Linked DNA regions of Daphnia pulex. The protein of the gene in region 1 binds, or shares a complex with, the protein of each later gene. Links are inferred from orthologs where the notes say so. Each region holds a gene or a part of one and is shown on either strand. Other genes may lie near its edges.

Evidence for each region. The genes of interacting proteins can lie anywhere in the genome.
Region 2: transcription initiation factor TFIID subunit 7-like (region 1) and transcription initiation factor TFIID subunit 8-like share a complex: the UniProt entries of both Homo sapiens proteins name them as parts of the TFIID basal transcription factor complex. The link is inferred for Daphnia pulex from reciprocal best matches to the Homo sapiens genes TAF7 and TAF8.
Region 3: transcription initiation factor TFIID subunit 7-like (region 1) and general transcription factor IIH subunit 3-like share a complex: the UniProt entries of both Homo sapiens proteins name them as parts of the TFIID-containing RNA polymerase II pre-initiation complex. The link is inferred for Daphnia pulex from reciprocal best matches to the Homo sapiens genes TAF7 and GTF2H3.

What each region holds. Positions count from the first base shown.
Region 1 is NC_060022.1:1,979,731-1,987,448, forward strand, and holds transcription initiation factor TFIID subunit 7-like, read right to left. Parts: upstream 4,499-7,718; 5' UTR 4,375-4,498; coding exon 4,276-4,374; intron 4,204-4,275; coding exon 4,072-4,203; intron 4,016-4,071; coding exon 3,935-4,015; intron 3,872-3,934; coding exon 3,493-3,871; intron 3,425-3,492; coding exon 3,285-3,424; intron 3,228-3,284; coding exon 3,125-3,227; intron 3,069-3,124; coding exon 2,899-3,068; intron 2,898-2,898; exon of another isoform or gene 2,840-2,897; coding exon 2,813-2,839; downstream 1-2,812. Other genes in the region: myosin-VIIa-like, read left to right, coding at 5-328, 405-574, 643-846; mitochondrial import inner membrane translocase subunit Tim10 B-like, read left to right, coding at 1,386-1,403, 1,472-1,567, 1,645-1,902; L-seryl-tRNA(Sec) kinase-like, read left to right, coding at 1,931-2,818; NADH dehydrogenase [ubiquinone] 1 alpha subcomplex subunit 2-like, read left to right, coding at 4,782-4,873, 5,057-5,163, 5,230-5,318; putative zinc finger protein 66, read right to left, coding at 5,467-5,597, 5,683-5,814, 5,875-6,349, 6,757-6,928, 7,130-7,281, 7,359-7,563, 7,631-7,707. UniProt on the Homo sapiens protein: The TFIID basal transcription factor complex plays a major role in the initiation of RNA polymerase II (Pol II)-dependent transcription.
Region 2 is NC_060020.1:5,722,334-5,729,405, reverse strand, and holds transcription initiation factor TFIID subunit 8-like, read right to left. Parts: upstream 3,421-7,072; 5' UTR 3,306-3,420; coding exon 3,259-3,305; intron 3,092-3,258; coding exon 2,988-3,091; intron 2,919-2,987; coding exon 2,863-2,918; intron 2,791-2,862; coding exon 2,560-2,790; intron 2,501-2,559; coding exon 2,350-2,500; intron 2,283-2,349; coding exon 1,993-2,282; 3' UTR 1,898-1,992; downstream 1-1,897. Other genes in the region: E3 ubiquitin-protein ligase TRAIP-like, read right to left, coding at 4,539-4,582, 4,640-5,334, 5,393-5,878, 5,941-6,050; ankyrin repeat domain-containing protein 13C-A-like, read left to right, coding at 6,825-6,939. UniProt on the Homo sapiens protein: The TFIID basal transcription factor complex plays a major role in the initiation of RNA polymerase II (Pol II)-dependent transcription.
Region 3 is NC_060021.1:11,069,497-11,077,091, reverse strand, and holds general transcription factor IIH subunit 3-like, read left to right. Parts: upstream 1-4,278; 5' UTR 4,279-4,413; coding exon 4,414-4,429; intron 4,430-4,497; coding exon 4,498-4,693; intron 4,694-4,768; coding exon 4,769-5,096; intron 5,097-5,160; coding exon 5,161-5,419; intron 5,420-5,478; coding exon 5,479-5,585; 3' UTR 5,586-5,698; downstream 5,699-7,595. Other genes in the region: uncharacterized protein LOC124194693, read right to left, coding at 1-65, 134-257, 346-611, 686-855, 916-1,062, 1,152-1,392, 1,485-2,408, 2,467-2,895 and 1 more; oligoribonuclease, mitochondrial-like, read left to right, coding at 6,082-6,186, 6,249-6,380, 6,444-6,473, 6,532-6,752, 6,812-6,932; succinate dehydrogenase cytochrome b560 subunit, mitochondrial-like, read right to left, coding at 7,031-7,275, 7,343-7,563. UniProt on the Homo sapiens protein: Component of the general transcription and DNA repair factor IIH (TFIIH) core complex, which is involved in general and transcription-coupled nucleotide excision repair (NER) of damaged DNA and, when complexed to CAK, in RNA transcription by RNA polymerase II.

The DNA.
Region 1 (7,718 bases):
ACAGGTATCACGCCTCAATTCACCTACCAAGTGTTTTTCATGAAGAAACTGTGGACCAACACCGTGCCGGGCAAAGACCGCAACGCCGATACCATCTTCCATTTCCACCAAGAGTTGCCTAAACTGCTGAGAGGCTATCACCGCTGCAACAAGGACGAAGCCATCCGTCTGGCCGCTTTCATTTACCGCGTCCGCTTCGGCGAGAGCAAAGCCGAGCTGGCCAACGTGCCGCAAATGCTACGCGACCTGGTCCCGGCCGATCTGATCAAACTTTTAGGCAACAATGATTGGAAGAAAACTATCACGGCTGCTCACGCTCAAGATTCAGGTTTGACATTTGATTGAATGATTGACTTGATTCCATTTGGTGTTGACGCCACATCGTTTTGAATTGAACATTTTAGGAATGAGTGCCGAAGACGCCAAGATCAACTTTCTAAAGATTATTTACCGCTGGCCAACGTTTGGTTCGGCCTTCTTCGAAGTCAAACAAACGACCGAGCCCAATTTCCCCGAACAGCTTTTGATTGCCATCAACAAAAGCGGAGTCTGTCTGATCCATCCACAGACTAAGGTGAATATCGCACACCCGCCATTATCTTTCTTTTTTGAACTCGGAATTAACATTTGTTCGTGTTCTAGGACATTTTGGTGACTCACCCGTTCACGCGCATCTCCAACTGGTCTTCGGGCAACACTTACTTCCACATGACTATCGGCAACCTGGTGCGAGGATCGAAATTGCTGTGCGAAACCTCGCTCGGCTACAAGATGGACGACTTGCTCACCTCCTACATCTCCTTGATGTTGAATACCATGAACAAGCAAAAGTCCATGCGGCTCTAATAATTTGCTCGCTCTTATTCTTCACCATTTTATCCCATTCAAACGAGAACGTAAATGTTGGCTATCGAGATGAGCTTCGTTCCTTTGGTCAGTTTATAGATTGATTTTCCATCACGAGAATTAGCAACTTTGTGAATAGTTTCTGAATTTTGCGATATTTTGCCACTACCTAGTTTTCCGTGTTTTTTTTTGAATTATTTTTAATTGACACCGGGGTCATCTGCTTTTGACGGGGTCTACTATTGTCAATGCATGCTTCGCTAGCTCTCCTCAAAAGCAAGGAACGATCCCGTTTCCCCTTTGCAGTTTTCATCGCCCTCATAATCGTCTTTTAACAAATTTATGTATATGTTATTTGAAAAATGAAGAATTATAATAAAGCATTTTACACTCGAAATCAATAGATAAACAAGTAAATTAATTTTTAAATTTTTTTAAACAAAATACGGATATGTTGACGTTTCGGCTAATGTGGCAACCCGGTGAGCCATATGTTTTGCAGACGACATGAATTGTCAATTTGTGGAAAGTAATTCGAAATGGATGCACTCAGGAACGTAAGTTTTTAGAAAATGTATTTGAATTGTAATTAATGCCAGAAAGTTAATTGATCTCTTCTTCCTAGTTTAAAGATTTTCTCTTAGTGTTCAACAAAATGTCAGAAACTTGTTTCACGCGATGCGTGAACACATTTCAGACTAGAGAGCTGACTGAAGATGAGGTAGGCTAAGAACATGAGGTTTCTCTTTCATAACATATCAGACCAATAGTTATTTTTTTGTTTTTGCTTTTTTTTAGGATAAATGTGTTGAAATGTGCTCAACGAAGAACATTAGAGTCAACCATAAAATCATGTCTGTGTATATGGAAGTTCAACCTCTAATTGTGCAAAAGCGAGTGGAAGAGATGGAGAAACTTAACCCACCACAAGCAGTCGCAGAAACTATTCCTGAAGTTGCTGAAATTAACACAGTTGCACAGTCAGTCATAATAGCAGAAACTGAGCCTCAACATGTTTCACAAGAGACCTCATCTTTAGAGCCTCAAGTTGTGTAAAATAGTGACACATACCAACAGGACAGAAATGAATCAGTGTTATTGCATTGTGGTGTTACTAGGTTTGCCTGCCAGTGGAAAGAGCTGGTTAGCAGGAAGATTATGTAGTTTTTTAACAGAAAACAATTGCATTGTGAATTGTGCAACTTTTGATACTATTGTGAGTTTAGAAAAACAGGCTGAAATTGCTGTTTCGTCATCTAGTGAAATAACAAAGCATTACCGTCGCGAGATGAAAGACACTGTGGAGTCTTTCTTGAAAGTGCCCAATCCTTCTTCCAAAAAGTGTGTCGTAATTGTTGATGATAACAACTACTATCGAAGTATGCGGTATGAATATCATCAGTTAGCGGCCAAATTCTACACAGGCTACCTTCAAATTTATGTCAAATGCGAAGTGTCTGAAGCGTTACTCCAAAACAACAGTCGTCCGCAAAGCAGCCGTGTTCCTGACATTGTAATCACTCAAATGAACACCAAATTTGAAGATCCCTGTGAAGCGTGGGAAAATTCTTTGACGATTGGACACATTGATTTAAATGATACAGAAATATTGAACAAGATATGGAATTACATCCAGAATGCTGTGGATAGTCCTGTCTCAACATTGAAGACTCTAGAAGAAAAGAAGCTTGCGTCCGAGCAAAGCAAACTACGCAACGATCACAACATCTTTCACAATATCGACAAAGTTCTTAGAAAAAGATTAAACCAATGTATACGCGAACGTAAAGAAGAAAAAGACGCTCGTGTATTGGCAGCACAACTAAACGACACTCGACAATCTATTTTGGAAGGGATCAAAACAGGCGCCATTGCAATCCCGACAGACATTCTGAAGGCGGATGGATCCATCGATTTATCTATCCTTGAGGTTTGGTCCATTTCAGCTTTTATCCAGAGGTGTCCGTTATAACATGGACATGATTTGGTCATACTAGAATACAATTTGTTAAAAATAGCTGAAATAATAATAAACAACACAATAGAGATCACCTCTTCCTTTTTCTCTTGTTCCTGAGCAACAAGTTTTGAAAGAGCCATCTGAAATCTTTGCTTGAGGGCGGCGTTTTCAATTGTAGCTAGCTCGTTTTCTTGAGCTTGTCTCATGTTCTTGATCTCACGGATTTCATCCCTCAGTTTATCAGCCATTTTTTGCAAATCGTCTTAACGACAAATGATATTAATTTTTAAAGCAGAAAAACAAATTTGAAATGTTTACCTTTTTGTGTGTCGATGACCTTTTTTTGTGGAGATAGATTAGAAGAACTGCTGTCATCCCGAAACATATCTCCGCTAAATTGGGTTATCATAGAATTGGACCCCTAAAAAAGAGAATGTAACAACTATCGAAACAAATTTAATTATTTTAAATTTGGTACCCTGTTGCTTCCTGCATAGAACTCCGAACCCGATCCACGGGATTCGTCACTGTTTTCGTAGTCTGATTCCATAATGTTGATCTTGCTTCCATGTTCTTCATCTGAGTCGCTTAGTGCCTCACCAAAAATATCGTGTTCGGCTATAGATAACAGAAGTATGAAGCAATTTGAACGAGTGCTGAAAACCGTTGGTTTTTACAAAACATACCCAAGCCACGGTTTTGTGTGCTAACGAATGTTCCGGATGCAAGAGGGACGGTCATTGCTGCCCCATCTCCCAACCCAGCTTCATTGGCTGCCTTTACCTTAGATTCATCTTCTTCTGTGATCAGTTCCCATCGTACACTTACCGCTTCATTATCAACACGCAGTAGGCGCCTGACTTCTTTTTCGATTTCAGGAGCCTCAACGTACTTCTTTTTAAGGGTTTTTCGAAATCTCCTTTTCCTGACATTCTTCATTGGTGGAGCTATGCCGTGAGGCATAAGGAATTTTTTATCGACCTTATGAGGATCTTTTTTCTTTGGTTTAACAGGAGTTTCTTCTTCACTACTTGACTGTTGTTCTCCTTCTTTACAAATCAATATCTTCAAATTTTAAATATCAGGTAAAATCAATATTCTAAGAATTTGAATTGAATTATTACTCACCTGGCTGACATCAGCGGCTTTGTAAAATGTTTTATTGTCAATGGTTTTTTGAGATTCCATGACACATGGAAGATCTAAAACCTAAGTAAATATTTGTTTTACAATTGAATATCAAATACTCTAATTAAGAATAACACCTTGGCAGACATAGTCCAATTGTCAAACTGAACCTGTCCTTTCCTCATGTCATTATCCATTCTAATATTTAGGCGGTCCTTCAGATTCATCACACCTGTCCTTAGAGTTTGTCGCAAACTTTCGGCACATTCCTACCACAAACACATTAAAGAATTTCAGTTTAAGACAATAATAATGTGAATACAAGTGTCCAAAGAACTCACTGGTAAGGTTGGTGGGAGTCTCAATATAAACTGATTTTCCAACTCATCTCCTCCATTATCATTTGTACTGCTAGGTGGTAGAACTGTAGGTCTATTCATTTTTTAACAATTGAGCCTACCACTAATATTATTATATCACGAGTCACTATAAAAATTAGAATCAAATATTCGTGATTCGTCGTTCACGAGCAGACGCCACAACAATGTCGGACTGTCACTGTAGGCGTAGGCCGTGTAGCAACGTCAGCGTTGTACTGTATTTTAGACGTTGCTATACTTTCATACTTTTGTATTACTAAACTATTGTTCCAGGATTCATTTCTATTTAATAATTGGTAATTTAAAGAGAAAATAAATTTATCTAAGACAAAACGGGGATCAGAATACTTTTCAAATAAGAAATAACTCTTTACTTTTGTTGCTCGCCGCTAGGATCAAGAGCAAGATATCTCGAATCTCGATTCTCGAGTTTGTTTTGTTGTCGAGTCTGCAAAAACTTTTCCAACATGGCAGCCGCTAGAGCAGTAAAAATTTTGCCCCATGTGAAAGAGATTCGGATTCATCTTTGCCAAAAGTCAGACGCCAGCAAAGGGGTTAGGTAAATGAAGAGTGTGTTAAATGAAATGTAAAATGCGAATAATCTTTTATTGTGAAAGACGTGAATTATTCTGTGTAGACGTATAATCATGGTGTAATCGTAGAGAATAGTCTCATTCAGTCATTCCCTTAATTTTATCATTTTAACTCTTCATCTTCATGGTGTTATTACTATTCATTTTAGAGATTTCATTGAAAAGCATTACATCGACTTGAAGAAAACCAATCCCAAAACACCTATCCTCATCAGGGAATGCAGTGGTATCCTGCCAAAAATCTGTGCCCGACATGGTTGGTTTACATATTCTAATTTGGATTCATAGTAAAAATTACCTTAATTGTCTTTTTAATTTATAGAGAAAGGCCTGGAAGTAAGTGCCCCAGTAATGAACCTGTCTGCTGAGAAAGTTCACTCAGTTTTGGAAAGTCTTGTTCTAAAGAAGTAAAATATTGTTCTTTATTTGTAGAAGTATTGTGTAAATAGAAAAGTTAGGATGAAAAATTTACACAGTCCTTGCCATATTTCATAGTTTATTTTCATTATCACCATTTGACACTTAATTCAATCTTATATTGATTTAGCCTGGTCTATAGTTATTCATTTTCATCACCAGCAGGTGGCTTTGTTCCTTTGGAAAATTTGCAATGGAGGTTCATATGTCTTTTTACTTTAGAATTGCTTGTGAATTTTGATTCACAGTTTAGACAACTGAAAGCTTTTTCACCTAGTTTAAATTGTAAATTCATATTATAATAATAGATATTTCAATTTGGCAATGTGCTCTGGTTATAAAAAATTGACAGCCGTACCTGTGTGAGACATTTTATGGGTTTTAAGTCGGTGTGTTGTTCGGAAACATCTACCGCAAGTTTCACACTGGAATGGTTTCGCACCTGTATGTTCTTGTTTGTGTATCTTCAAATTCATTGGGTGAGTATATGCTAAACGCAAAATGAATTAGTAAGTAAATTTAAAAACTAAGATCCACAATGGTTAATTACCTTTATCACAAAGATCACACTTAAATGGTTTCTCCTTTGTGTGAGTCAGTTCGTGCATTTGCAGATTATTTTTTAATCTGAAAGCTTTGCCACAGAACTCACAAATGAATTGATAGTCAGCAGAGTGTAGTTTTTGATGATTTCTTAAATATGACAAGGTAAAGAACTGTTTGTTACATTCTTCACAAACATATGGCTTATTCCCAGTATGACGATTAAGGTGGTCCATGTACTTTAGCATAGATACAAAGTTCGCTCCACACTCGGTGCAAAGATGTTTATCACGGCTAGAGTGCCCAGTATTTTTTGTTTCTTTTTCAACTGTATGCACCAACGGTTTGCTAGTGCAACATTCTTGAGCTTCTTTATTTTCTTCAGTTCCCTCTTTGTTTATTAGACCGTTTTGAACATCAACTATTTCAGTTTCTTCAACTTTTATAAGAACTTCCATTATGATTAAATACCCCTTTTTATACTAGTTTTGATGCCCATTCAGAACTTTCAACCGAATAATGATGCAGCACTGTCCTATAATAAGAAATTTTATACAAGATATGAAGTTAGTATTAATTTTGTTTAGTTCAAAAATTCAATTAAATAGAATGACATTTTTGTTAAAGACTTTACCAGTGACCAAACAGCAGGAACGAAAATAAGTGTTTCACTGTTTTGACTGTTTTCTAAAAACAATCAAGAGAGCGTCGTCTGCAACAAAGCATGCAGTCCTGCCAAACCTCGAAAGTCGGCACTCGCAAGTCGCAACTCGCAAGTCGCAAGCCTGTAAAGTCGTAACTCGTAACTCCGGTAACTCGTAAGTCGCCAGCCGCAAAAGCGGTAATAAAGACCAAGTGGACTTTATTAGTGGAAACTGGAAAGTACTACCTGAGTACAGGTAGTGGTAGGAGGGCAGTAGCTAATAGCTATGGTGCTCAGACGTAAATACCAGTCTTGCTGAAAATTACGCCTGCCCATGTGCCTGTCTAGGCGGACTACTGATTCAACATCCAAAGTCCGAACACTCTGATCCGAAGGCGCAATAACCAATCCAAAGTGACTTTAAGCACATAAAATTATCCAAAGGTACAGCTAAAATTAAGTTCAGACTTCAGACATATCAAATAATGTTTTGAGGAGGTTCATTGAGACTAAATAGTAAAGACAAAAATATGGTCCTTTGTGTATTTACAAATTTCAAAATGGGTTCTATAAATCAATGCGAAGACTGGCAATTAAAGGAGAGATGTATTACGAACATCACGAATTTAATGATTCTTCCAAGGAAGGAATTTCTTGAACATCGTCTTGATCAATAGAAAATTGTACTAACATAGGCCCCACACCGGATGGCTCCACAATATAAGTGTTTACAGGGAGGACTTCTAAAGATTCTGCTTCTATGATGGTTACCTAAGTATTTTCACCGAAAATTTTAACATTAGTAAATTCTTTCCCAAATGTAGATTACATTAGATACAATTACATACCTCGTGATCTGTATCAAGAAAATGCGCATCATCTATATTTTCTATGTAAGCAACATTCTGCAAAGTTTCCAGGCCCTGGTCCTCAGTATCTCTTTCCAAATCTGTAGTAAGCTTATTGTTGCAACGCTTGGCTTCATGCAGTTTTAACATTCCACTAGTTTTGAAACTTTTGCCACAAGCCGAACAGTCTAGTGACTTCGAGGAGCTGTTTAAATAATGATGTTTACCTCTCACCAGTATACTGTAGGTAATGCAAATGTTTTAACACATACCGATAATGTGTAGCTAAATGGCACGCTAAACGATGCGGTTCACGAAACAGCTTTCCACATAGATCACAACAACAGGGCTATTGAATAA
Region 2 (7,072 bases), on another chromosome or scaffold:
AAGGCGAAAATTGGGAGACCGAAGATAACCCTTAAATCTGGCTGCAGCTCACGATTTCTCTTAATGCGAATGGCAGTTGTGTTGCGGTTGTGAGCCGCTGGAATGAAATCCGAAACGGACAGATGAGGTTCCCTATCAGGAAGTGCGACGAATCGTCATCTCCACGCTGCAATGAATCATGAATATTCCCCAGTGCGTACTATTCTTCTCTAAAGGTATGATTTCATCAATTTAATTCCCCGCAAAGAGAAAAAATCAAATCGAATCAAGTACTTTGGACAGGTTGACAGATCACCTGTGGCAACCGGCAGCTGCCGGCTCGTTTGCGAATCATTGAATCATTCTCCGAGTCATTCCCCTGTCAATAATCCATCAGTGACGACTGACGAATGCATGTGTTGCAAAGGTACAACTTTCTACGCTCGTGCTGGCTATAGTCCGGGTTCCTGGTTTAGCGTTTTAGACTGCTGTGAGAAAGGAGACATCTGAATTTTAATTTCAGTCAATCCTTCATTCGCATCAAATGGTTCCTTGACAGCCTTTGTTTGAGCTGTCGGCTTCTAAGATAAAACTGTTTTTTGTTTTTCAGCTTCTATTATTTCAAGCAACCATGTTATGTCCTGCATGAGGACTTTTTCCCATTTAAATTTGTTGGAATTGACGTCACGAATTGACGTGCTTTGAAGTACCCAGATCACCAAGTTTCCCAAACATCTTTACAAACGCAGACCTTTGTGATTGGTTTTGTCAAATTAGATTTTCATTGCTTCTCTTGACGAATATTAAAATTGATAAGAAGGTGGAAATTTATTCTTGGAGCGTCAGTAGGTGAACTCCACGGCCAGAAGCGCTAAACCGGACTATGCTATGCATGAAGTGGTTGGCCACTAGTGACCAAGAAAAGTTCTTGGTTCGACCTTCTCCGATTTGCGTCATCCGGCCGATCGGTTTGCCAGGACCAAAAGACGCGCGAGACTTTCGTTTACGAATTACGACGTTGGCAATCAACCCTCCTCTTTTACTTGTGGCAGTTGTTGTTTGCTTGATGAATCGTAAATGACAGGTTGTATGTAATAATACGTCTAATAAATTGTACAACATACCAAACGTACGAAGGAGCATATTGCATGTATAACGCAACAACTGCAAAGATATGTTTATCGCGTATCTCAATAGTTGAAAATTTGATATTTTCTAACCACAAGCTCCGATTTCAGCTTCAATCAATCATTTAATTTAATTTCAATTGTTCCTTCATTACAGTGCATACAAATAGATTTATCCTATTACATTTAAAATGATTAAAATTTTTAAACAATTCCCCTTATGCCGTAACAGCATTGTATATAATAACCAAAAACTGAAAATTACCCTACTTAAGTGCGGGATATAGCTTTATTTTCTTATCGCTAGGTGTCTTATTTTTCCATTTTACAAAGTCGTCTGCAAGTGGTACTCAACAACTTTGTGAAAATGTCACGATATTTAACGAAATTTAGGTAATAAAAACTTTATCGGTCACGTGGAGGCACTCACTATAATACTTTATAATATATTTAGATTGGCCATACCTCTAGTTATTCAGACCAGGCAATTAAATGCTCATAGAGCGTCAATCGGTAGTATTGGACGATCTATCTACGTGAGAACATACCCAACTTTGCTTGTACAACCTGACGGTTCTACAATAACCGTACATTATAATGAACCTCGCGCAATAATAAAGGCAAATTTATTTTTATTTTTAATAAGTATGGACGTAATGTTTGTTTTACTTCCATTAACAGCTGCCTCTGGACTTGAGTATGCTATCTGAAGCTGAGAAGCAAAAACGACTGGCCCAAAGGAAGCCAAAGAAAAAGGTCAAGATTGAAGAGGAAATTGAAGACACATTTGATCAAGATTCATATTCACATTTATGGAAAAAATGAGATGACAGCTGATACACAAATAGTACGAAAAATAAACTAAATTTAACAATATGGATTGTGGTTATGGGGAGCTCTTTTTCTTTGAAAAAGGCATTTTAACTGGTCTGATGAATGGATTTTCCATGATAAATGGTTCTGAATTTGACATTTCCATCAGTGAGCCATTAGGTCCAAGGTTATCCATCATTTCATTGTTCTCTTTCTCCTGATCCAACTTGGCGGCTTTAATGGCTTCAGCATTTGCTTCTTCTTGCTTTTGCATGTGGACGGCTGCCTCGTCTTCTTCAAAAGTTTGATCGCGAGGGAGAAGGGCGGACAAAAACGGTTTATCCATTGGCTTACATGCAATAACTAGGACACAAAGAATATATTTAAATGAAAAAGGTATACATTACTATTTTTTTCGTCCTCTACTTACGGGGATAATGCGTCAAATCTTCGACCAAAAAGAAACTCTGCGTTTCCCCTGTTTTAGCGACAAAGCGCGTCAGTGCTCTCTCCACATCTCGCTTTTGACAGGATGCCTTTTCTCGAATAGTTTCGTAGTCCGTAATAGGTTGTTTGTGAGTCTTAAAAAACAATAATTATTAAAAAATATAATGTATGACAAATATGGAAAACAACATACTGGTGTTTGAACATATGCATGTGAATCTGGAAATGCTGGCAAATGATCTGGGATATGACTTGGATGTGGTCTCTTTTGACCAGTTTGTAAAATTCCAATTTGTTTGGTTGCAACAGCTTGAGTAGGAGTTGGTAAAACTAGCCTTCTTGCTCTTTGAGCATATGATTCCAAAGAGTTGTGCTTAATTCCCATTGAAACCAAGGCCATAACAACATCTCCTACAACAGGTTCCTAAAATTAAAACATATAACTTGACTACTGATTATACCCTATAACTCAGAGAAGAATTTAGATAACCCATACCACTCTTGCAGATAATTCACAGTAAAGACGGCTACTATGACCAAGTTCAGTCAGAACTGTAGAAAGAAAATAAATAAATAAGGTTTTTAACAAATATGATTACTTTGATAGATAGAAATGCTTACAGCTCTGCATCATCTCGGTAAGGGTCTCCAATGACAATTCATCTACTGCACTGAAGCCTGCCTCACTACACAAACAACTCACACTGGCCTGAAGCAGTTTCCTTCTACAAATATTTAAGATAAATTACATTTGTGTAAAACACCTAATTATTAAGGTCTGTCTAAATCTGACATCAAATACTGTAACATGGAAAAAAAAGATTGAGTATCCTTGTCAGTATTTTAGTCTTTTAAAAGTTGTTTTTCACCACACGTATATTAAATGTTTTACCTAGAAGCTGCTCCAGACATGATGGGTTCTGAAACAGTAGTAGTCATTCTCGGTGTTGTGGTTTATAGAAGAAATGATTTTTTATTGAATTATAATATTTGTTGAATGGTTTTGTTGACAATGCAACAAAACTAGCAGTACAGTCGTTGGTCGTTGCTAAACAGTCGCTAGGATTGGTGCAGCGGCGGCACCTGAAAGCTTCGTCAGATTCACTCGCCGTCAATTCTTTCATTTGGTTCTGAACTTGTAAGTCGTCGTCGTCCTAGTGAGTTTTTATCGTCTTTCATCTGGATTTTACCATAATATAGTTTTACAAAAATGTTCTGTTTAATTAAAGCATTATATAGACGACATTTGTGAGTTTTTCCGTGTTCGTAAATAGTAAACTTCCTATTTTTCTAAACAGGATTATCTAGCCACACCAGCTATATACAATGGCCAAATCCAAGAATCACACAAATCACAACCAGAGTAAGTTTATAAATTATATATTTGGAGACACGTTTTAACGTTTCCTCATTTACAGACCGTAAACATCATCGTAATGGCATCAAGAAATCCCAGGCTCACAAGTGCCCATCCAACAAAGGAGTAAGATTTTTGTTTCTTTAGTTACTTGGAACATTTGTCAAATTGACTAGAATTGGTTATTTAGTATACTTTTGAAGGTTCTTTGTAGTTCCTTGTTGCTTTAAAAATCAAGCCCATATTGATTACTGTTCACTGAAATCCATAAATTTCATTCTAAGTTACTTGACGTGAACTTTTCGTGCCATGTATGTGTTTAACCAATGTTAGTTGAGATTGAAGTTTTAATGTTTCTCCTCATTTGCAGGTCGATCGCAAGTTTTTGAGGAACATGAAGAAATCGCGCGCACGCAATCTGAGCACTGCTAAGCAGTTGATTGTCGCCAAGTACCGCAAGGACCAGGCCGAAAAGTAGTTTCTCAAATTCGCGAGGATTAAGTTTTGTGTAAAACAAAATGTTCTAAATACAAATCTTGATTCTACCTTTTCATCTATTACCTAAATTTATAATTAATGTAATATAATTTATAACTAAATCATAAGACTTATAGAATTGTTTTGCCAAAAAAAGCCGACTATTGTTGTTCATGGCTTCATGCAGCAGATTACTTAAATCTACAAGGATACAAAAAAGACCAATTTGTTTTTTATTACGCCAGTTATATATTTTAAGACAATCTGTACAAAATATAATTTGTATTGGACATCTGACGGATAGACTATTAGCAGCAAATTAACATCTTCAATTTATATTATTGAGAGTAAAAGTAATCTAAGGTCGTGGTCTGCGTTTTACCTGTAAAGAAAAAACGTCGTTAAATATCCTATTTCAGTAATGATTAACAGTTTTTACCTTTAATTTTCATTGTAACTGGTCCTCTCTTCTTTTTAGTGCCTGAAAGTGATGAACTGGAGGAACCGGCACCTTTTGGGTAAATTTCGGGTTTTGCGTGACCTCCAAATCCATCATAGAAATAACCACTAGTTGACGGTACTGGATCGACTTTCATTTTTTTAAACTTCAGGGATTCACCATCAACGGATGCGGATGAACTGCTAGCTTTGCGAGCCTCCTTTCGCTGAGTACTGGAAGCTGCTTCTTCTTGTTCAGGATTGCTAAGTTTGGGCTGCATGCTCGAAATATTTTGCGATGACAACATCAATCTAGACGAAGGAACGTTCGAAGGTTTCATTCTAAGCGGAACTAATGGAGTAGAAGGTGACGATGGCGTTGTCATGAGAAGATTAGACATTCGAAGGTTAGTCGGCGCAGGACTCTCATTGATTAGACGAGACAGCGCAGAGTTGCGAGGATCACCACTCGGCGATGAGATCGACTCCGTAAGGGCCTTAAGCTTTTCTTGCAGTTTTGCATTTTCTGTAGTATATCTTTTAATATCCTCTTCTGCCAAGCTGGATTGCTCTTCTTTCTCCTTCAATTCCTTCTTGGTTTGCTGGAGTTCAAGGCGGAAAGTGCTTAGGAGTCGTCGACATTTTCTTAACTCTTCGTCGGCTTTCTGCTTTAGTTGTACTTTAGTATTCAGCTCCCTATGGGAAAATAAACTTTGAAACAAAGCTTTGAATGTTGGCTGATATTATTCAGTACCTGCTTAAAATCACACATTGCGTGCTCAAGGATTTGGCCGTTTCTGAGTGATCACCATATTGCTCCAGCATTTCTTTTACTTCGTCATGAGTAGCAGTCACAATTTGTTGAACATTTTCCATCAGTTTAAGCTTTCCTTTACAAGTCTGCAGCTCTTCTTCTACGATGGCGAAAGACTTAACTTGCTTATTCAGGAAATCGACTCTCTGTTGGAGGTTGCTTATGACGGTTTCCGACTCACGAACTTTTTCTGCACTTTCCTTTTTTTCTTTACAGTACTTGTTAGATTTTTTCTTTAGAGTAACATTCTCTTGCCTAACTTCTCTCAGTTCTCTTTGTACAACTTGAAATTCCAGGGACATTTCATCCAGCTTTTGTTGAAGATCTGCAGAGTCCACTTCAACAGAGAAAGCAATATCAAAGAAGATTCTGCCTAGTTTTTCATTAGACGTGGTTTGACGACAGGTTGGACAAGATTTCTTGGTACTGTACATTTAAGGAAAAAGATGTTAAGGATATCAACAAGAAAACTGTATTAAAGGTGTTACCCAAGCCATTGTGTGATGCAAGTGTTGTGAAATGTGTGACCACATTGTGGAGCCATGACGACATCAGAGTCACCAAAGAGCTCCTGACAGACAGAACACTGGGCACGCATTGTGTGGCTTTGTAAACTAAACCAGTAGCTTTTACAAATCTGAAAAGATAATTAATCATGAGTAAAAGAAATGAGTTTACCACTCATCAAGGAAATTATTCCAAATTAACACATAAACAAAGTGGGATAACAGACTATGTAGTCTGAGATAAACACAAAATGTTTAGGTAGAAAAGTTTAACTTTACTTCTCCTTCAACACCACTGAGACCATCAGTAGCCTCACAAATTAGCACCAAGGACAAACGTTTGAACCAAATTCTTACCTAAATTACTCATGACTCACAGAAAGTTGAAGATCGACAAAGAGTTAAACTTATTTTGGAAATCGACCACTAGCGCCTCCATTTAACGCGCCTTTTGTGTAATATTCGTGTGTCACATGAGAAAAATTGGTTACAACCTTTTTCTCCCAAATAACAAAGTTAAACACAAATTTGGGGTTTATTTTTTAAGAATATTATTTTTTCATTTTTTTCTACAAAATATTGCTCTATTTTAAAAAATGTTATGTTTTTTTGTTTGTGACTTTGCAGAACCAAAGAAAATGGAGATAAGGCAAGATGAAAAGAATAAAAAGGTCTTTTCACTCCCGCACTCTAGCGACTAGACCCAGAAGCTTAAATTTAAAAAGTGTCGAGTGTTGCTACAGTTGCAAGTTAAGCTACAAAAGCGCTAGTGTCAGCAATATTTTTGCCGTAATATTTCTAGAATTCTAGTCAACTTGTGATATCTCTGTTTATCCAGTGTGCGGAACGAAAGGTAAACATGAAAAATGGCCGATGATTCAAGTTCATTATTCCCGCTACACTCGTGTGTTTATCGTAACGATATTCGTCAATTGTCTTCTCTTTTACGTACTACAGATATTAACCAAAAGGATAAACATGGTGACTTTTATTTCACTAACTTACAACTATATTTTTTCTTTTTTTTTATACAATAAAATTTTATTGTTTTGAGCGGCATCCTGTCTCCGTGAACATGGCTCGATTAATTTTGCTTTTTTTTTTAAATATCGTT
Region 3 (7,595 bases), on another chromosome or scaffold:
GGAGGAGGTGGGGGTGGTGGTCCTCCCATCATCGGAGGCGGAGGAGGCGGCGGCGGCGGCGGCGGCTATCGAATCGATTAATAATAGCGAAAAATAATCTCAATGCGGTAAAAAAATGCTATCATGAACGTACCTGTCCCCCTAACGATGTCGGAAACGGAGGCGGAGGTGGAGCGGGGGTAACCCCGGACCGGAAATGATCCGAAGACGAGAATGGGGGTGGAGGGGGCGGTGGAGGTGGAGCAGTCGATGAATAACTGTAACAATTTGACAATTTAATAAAAAAAACAATAAATCATGATGCATCAAATTTTGACATGATTAATTCTTGTTTTTCGTTGCAACCTTGGAGGTGGGACGTAAGGTGGAGGTTCAAGAGTTGGCCGGTTTTTAAGAACAGTGACTTCTTTAGTTAAACTGGCAATCGTTTCCTCCATTTCTTTGATTTTATGACGGAATTCAGCTTGAATTCGCAGAAGTTCCGCATCATGGTCTTGTCGTGCCTGTTGGAACGCTGCCAAATGTTCTTGTATGGATAAATACTCTCCTTTACATCGAGGAGTTCCTTTACTATTCATGTCAGGTCTACCCCATCTATACATTCGATCCATCTGAGAAAAAAATGCAAGTTATTCCGATACAAAACATTCAGGAGGTCTGAAATTGCACAATTAGGCCGACTAACCATAAATTTGTCGCACATTTGCCCATCTTCCAAAGGGCAAACAATGCCAATATTCAATAAATAATTAACAAAATGACTCATCAAAAGCCTCAGATCGGGCTTGCTAATAAGGAGCCTCAAGTAATGATCCTCATCAATAGAAGAGAGTAAATTTGAAACAAGCATTTGCCCTGTGTTATAATCAAATCCGGTGATATAAATGTTTAACATCAAATTGAATAAGTTTATACCTTCAAAATTTTCTAAGGAATTGAGATCATGTCGTTCAAGTGAAGAACGCATTTTTGGTGAGTTAAGTTGTTGCTTTTGTTCCATGGCCAAGTCATACGTAAGGCTTGCCACCTTTCGTAACACATTAGATTCTTTTTCTCCAGAAGCTAAAGTTTATGGAGAAAGAGGAAAAAAAAAGAAATATTATTATGAAATGGTTAGATAGTACACATCATTTAAAGTAAAAAATAATTACTGGAAGGATACGGAATTCCGAGATCACTAGGCTCGCGTCTAGTGGCATTTTGAGTGTGACTAAGAATTGCTGTGGCTGGAATTTCCACTTTCTTATGCCTTGTAAGAGTAAATGGTTGTCCATTGTTGGGCACATTAGAAGATCTATTAGCTCCATTATTGTTATGCCCCGATGAGGAGCCTCCATGTCCTCCAAGGTGCATCATATCTGGCATGTCAATTTCAATCTTTGTAGTGCTTGCCTGTATTAGAAAATAACAAGGAAAAATTTGTCAGCCCTTCATTAAACATACAATCTACAAGTTTTAACAAATGACCACAAAATCAAACTTACTGACTTGTTTTTCTCAGCATATATTTTGAAAATATGATATTTTGCTGCTGCAGCGTAGTAGAATAACAGACTGGGGACTTCGAGGGAGAGATAATTTAGCTGTCCTCTAGCAAGATGTTGATGTGGAGTTACTTGGGCGCAGGAACTCTTCTCATGCTTGGCAAAAAACTTCTTGTCAAACTGCTGGAAATTGTCCTTGATTTGTAACTGTTCTATTTCATTTGACCTTGAACACAGTTCTGTTGCATATGATGAAGTATCAGCATCCAATTCAATATTATCACTTGTCGGTTGTTCAAAACCACTTGACAATGAAACAGTTCCAGCATTTTCAAATTCTGAGACTTCTCTTAAACTGCAAGTTTCGGTATTGCTGTCCAATGGAAGATCAGGTACATTAATGCTATCCGATGTCTCGGAAACGATCAGCAGATTTTCATCACACGTCCAGGTGTGGTGATGAGCGATGTCTTGGTAACTGGACGGATCTTCTTCAGGCTCGTCCACATCAGCATAGAGAGTTTCTGATGTTAACGACTTCCCTATAACTATAACTTTGGACAATCGTTGAGGTGAAAAATTCTGTTCTTGTTGATCTCTTGTCCTGTCATCCGACAGTGTAGACGACGAACCACTGTTGTTTGGAACCTCATTTTGGAAAGGTGGGTTTGGTCCTTTTTCGGTTTCGGTTCCACCATTTTCGGTTCCAACCCGCGGATTCGAAATAAGCCGCCCCTTGGATTTTTGACTAGAACTACTTTTGTTGCCCATTGCTGCGGAGTCGGAGCTGCTGCGATTTCGGAAAAACGGAGAATTCTCTAATTCAGAGTTAGCCGATTTATCTTCGGGAATCGACGAGCTGCAACTTTCAAAGTCGCCCAAGTCGCTCAAGTCATCAACCAAGTTTCCATTCCAATCTTCCTGCTGCGTCCACAATATAGAAAATAATGTCACATTATTTTAAAAAATTTATGAATTCTACCTTAGCGTAGCGGGACTGATCGTCGAGCGTCAGAGGTTGATCGTTTATTAGCAACAAGGGCAAATCGTTTGACAAGCCAACGTTAAGGGCTTCGATGGTGCCTTCCGGATTACGATCATCTCCGTATCCATTATTTTCGTCGTTCCTTTGTTTATCTAATAAATCAATATTAACTGGAAACGCTTGTTGTTGATCAGATAGTGCCGCGTCTTGCAGCACTGGTTCCGGATAGCTAGATTGGCTGTTGGCCTCCACTCGAGCCGCACTAAATGCGTCAAAACTGTACGTAGTTCTAAACGATGTATTAGAACGATCCGAGTCAGATTCTAGCTGCTGTCCGTCTGGAGATCGATGAGAGGGGTTCGGACTGCTGCAATGAGGAGTGATTGGAGATAAAGTCGATTGAGTAAGTGAGTTTCGTTGTTTGGCCTAATTTAAACCAAAATTGAAACATGACGTTTGCTCTTGACGTGTGTTATTTACAGTATAGTAACTAGGGTAACAACTCACTTTGAAGGCGTTGGTTCGAACAAGGCGAGGCAGTTCGGAGTCGGGATCGATTGACGAAATGGAAAGGAGACGGGGACCTGCAGCGAGCTCCGATTGATCCGAGGTAGACAGATGACGGCCGAGTTTATTCAAACGCTGTCCAAATTCTTTGACGCCACGAACTTTTTCCACAAACAAGCTCTTCAACGCTAGAGCTTTAGTGTGTTTGTTGGTGATCAACGACAACTGGTCAGCCGACGTAGCTCTCTTCGTGGAACTGCAGCTCGGCGATTGCGCACTGCCGTTGCCGCTGCTGCAGCTGCTCTCGTTATCTGGCTCACAATAGTCGTTGGTTGCCATAGCGACCTTAGGATCCCTGTGTACATGGGCACAGTAATATCCCTTCCCGATCACCTGGAAATAAGAAAATAAGGGCTAGACAAGAATTTTATTACACGTGGTCGGCAGATTCCACTTCCTAATTTTTGTTCTCATTCTCTCAACCATTACAATGTTACGACCAATAACGAGACGAAAGCTTTTTATGTGTGATTTCTCATCCGATAGAGCGTACGATTACTAAATCGGCGTGTCTCCTACACATGATGATAATGACATTCCAGTCCAACAACAAAATAAAACTTACGTCACGTCGGTCAATACGACGTACGGGAGGCCAATTCTTGTCAGAGGCAACAGGTAGAAATGAGACTGGAGCCTTTTTAACACATAGACACACACAAGTCACAATACAGAGACTGAGTTTGACACGACCTAAGTAGTTCGCCCTGATGGCAAGCTCTTCCCGCCCGCTACTGACGAGATTTTGTGTAATATAAGAGGAAGGGTTTTTAATCCAGTAGAGGGCGATCAGAGAGCATGCATACAAGTAACAAAGAGAGAAAGATAAATGAAAGATAACCTTGCCTAGGCTCGCGCGCCGTAGCCAGACAAATATAGCAAATAAATAAAGAGGAAGCGGAAAGGGGGGAGAGAATGAGGGGAGAACTCACTTACGTACTATGTTGTGCTATTTCCTCATTTTCAAATAAAGGTGTGGGATATTTGAATTGTCGTTTCCTTTTTTCTTTATCCACTATAGCTTTATGAAAGACTCATGATATTTCTATATCGCGCATTTTTCTGGTATAGTCTTCATAAATGAAAATAATTGCGTCACTAGGTCTACACATGTCCAAAATGTAATTTTACATCCAACAGGTATCCAACTTCCAACTACCTATAAATGCGGGCGATGTGGCCTGAACGCGCGATGCCGGCGATGCGCCAGCCGCCAAGCCCGCCAGGCGGCCAGGCCGGCCGGGCCTAATTTTGTAACCGAAACACTGAGAAGAGGCTTCATTAAAACTTGTTGTTTACATCGAGTAGTGTTCTCTTCCTTCCAGTTGTTAATTCCACTTTTTTTTAAAGATTAGATAGAATAGAATCTCATGCAAAATGGAAGATAAAGAAGGTGAACCGTAGAATTTCATTTGTTATAAAAAAATTGTGGTGGCTAAAATATCTAAATTGTGATTGCAGAGCGCATTGAAACTCCGTTAGTGGCGATTGTGATTGATGCTACTCCTGCCAAAAAATTCGCAAGTCAAGCAATAATTGATAATGGATCTACAATGATGAATAGAATTTTTGATGCCTTGATTGGATTTGGAAATGCCCACTTGATGCAAGGCTCTCACAACAAACTGGCAGTCATTGCCTGCAACAGCAAGTCTACGTAAGTGATTTAAAAAATTTTATCTTACAAGACTTATTCATAAGACAATGACCATCTTATATATTTTTTTAATAGAAAGTTTTTGTACCCTTCCGAAAATGGGAATTCTAAATCCTACCATAACCGACCTGGGCAGTATGACATGTTTGCAAAAGTTGATTCCGATATTCGTCATGGCCTTTCAGAGCTAATCTTGAAAGATTCAATTGACCATGATTCTACTACATCAGACTCATTATTAGGGGGAGCTATGGCTCGTGCTCTGTGCCACATTCATAAAGTTCAAAGGGAACTTAGTTTGAGTCATCAGTTAAAACCACGCATACTTGTTGTTAGTGGCAGTTCTGACAGTGCTTTGCAGTACATGACCTTTATGAATGTGTTCTTCACAGCTCAGAAAGAGGTAATATGCTTACTTTAAAATCAATATTTTTTAAGAAAATAGTAAGAATGTTTCTCTTTTACAGAATGTTGTGATTGACTGTTGCATGATGGATACTGATTCTGGATTACTACAACAAGGCTGTGACATAACTGGAGGGCAATACTTACGAATTCCTACTGTTGTTGGATTACTGGAGTATTTGCTGTGGGTTTTCCTTCCAGGTCCATCTTGTAGATCCAAAATTGTCTTGCCACCTCCTACAAAAGTTGATTACAGAGCAGCTTGCTTCTGCCACCACAAACTAGTTGATATTGGATGGGTCTGCTCTGTTTGTCTTTCAAGTAAGTTAATGGTTTTTATCATTACTCTTCACTTTCAGTAACTTATTGCTTGTTTCTAGTTTTCTGCAAATTCAGCATTCTTTGTACCACATGTAACACAGAATTCAAACTTAATAGACCTGCAATCGTACCCTCCAAACCGAAGAAGCGTCCTCGAATGGAATAAATGGAAGATACAGTGAAAAATTAATTATTGCCCAAAAAGCTCTGACTGAAGCTCAATTTAGCACTTTGCTGTAAATTTCCGTGGCATACAAAAAGAAATTGTTTTGTACATGACCATTCAATGTTTCTTGGGTTTCTCTTTAGTCTCTACTGGTCTCTACTCTATACTCTCTAGTCTCTACTCTTTATGAAGAAAGAAAAAAAATTAAGACTAAAAAGACTGATTGTTATAACTATACTTTTCTTAGTGGCAGAGATATTGTTAGGTTAGTTCGATTGTTAGGTTATCTCTGATTTAAAATTTCGATTTTTTTAGAAAAAATTAACAATTTAAAAAAAAAATGAAAATTTTTAACAAAATGAAAATGTAGCTTTACTTCACCAAATTTTGAATAGCTTTTCGTCTGCTAGGTATCTTGAAAAGAGACAAGGCAAGGTTAACTATATAAGAGTTTTCAAAAGAATAATAATTTAGATTACGTACCGTTAATTTCCGGATGTTTACAAATAATTTGAGATTGGTTTCACGTTACATATACGCTCGCACAATGACCAACGCAGCGTTAGCCGCTAGAAACAGAATCGTATGGATGGATCTAGAGGTGAATTGGTTTCCAAGGAACAAGTCAAAAATTAGTTTTTTATAAGCTAATTTTCTTTATAGATGACGGGGTTGGACGACACCAAGGACCACATTCTTGAAGCTGCTTGTCTTATCACTGATCAAGACTTGAACATTGTTGCTGAAGGTCCTAACATCATCATTAATCAACCTGATAGCATCTTAGATGGAATGGTTATATCTATTATATTATATTATTCTTATATATTATATTATATATTCTATCTTATAATATAGGGAGAGTGGTGTAAAAAAACACATGGAGAGGTTTCAAATAATTCATTCAATACTGTTTATCCAAATCATAACACTTACTTTCTTTCAGTCTGGGTTAACAGAAGCATGTAGAAATAGTAATATCAGTGTTGAAGAAGCTCAAGAAAAGCTTGTTGATTTTATTGGTCGTTATACTAACCCCGGAGAATGCCCGCTGGCTGGGAATTCCATTGGTGAAGATAAAAGATTTCTGTACAAGTACATGCCCAAACTCATAAACCATCTGCACTACCGGATAATAGATGTTTCAACCATCAAGGAATTGGGAAGGTAATAAATTAATTTAAACTTTTTTTTTTAAATCATTAGCAAAATACATCTGGAATTAGGAGGTGGTATCCAGATGTTTTGAAAAATGCTCCCCCAAAATCCTTAACTCATAGAGCCATGGATGACATAAAAGAAAGTCTGATGGAACTGAGCTTCTACAAAGCAAATATTTTCAAATGAAAACACATTATTTATGTAACAGTCTACTACCTTTATTCACACCCACCCACAAATCAAACTGTAAATACAATGCAGTTATTGGATTGCATGTACTGTGTTCAAAGGGATGTCAAATATAATGCTAATGAAACAGCAGCTGCAAGGACAACATACCCTGTGCTTTGAATTCCCTTAATTGTGAGGTTGAAACCAGTATCCCACACAAGGTGTCTCATTCCATTAATCAGGTGATAGGAAAATGGAAAAGCAATGAGAAACTTCCCAGCCAATACAATAAGTGGAAGGTGTGCAGCTTCCAACATTCCCAAATAATGTGGAAATGATGCAGGCAATACCATGGCACCTATCAGATTACAAATAAAGCATATTAAAACATATTTATTGATGTAAAGATTGATTGATGAAATTACCAATAGCTAGACCATACATCAGTCCATTTTGTGCAAGACCAGTAAAACGATGTGTAATGGACAAAGCCATATTAGACTGGAATTGGTAAATAGATAGATGGGGAGAAATTGGCCGTTGCAACCTCTTATTCTTATCTTCAAAATTTTCATTTGAAAGGGGTTTAGCACGATTAGCTTCGACGCTTTTAATTCCGAACGTAGAGGCTGACACAGTGTGTTGCCTGCAGCAATTAATAAGGGGAAACGTTAAAAT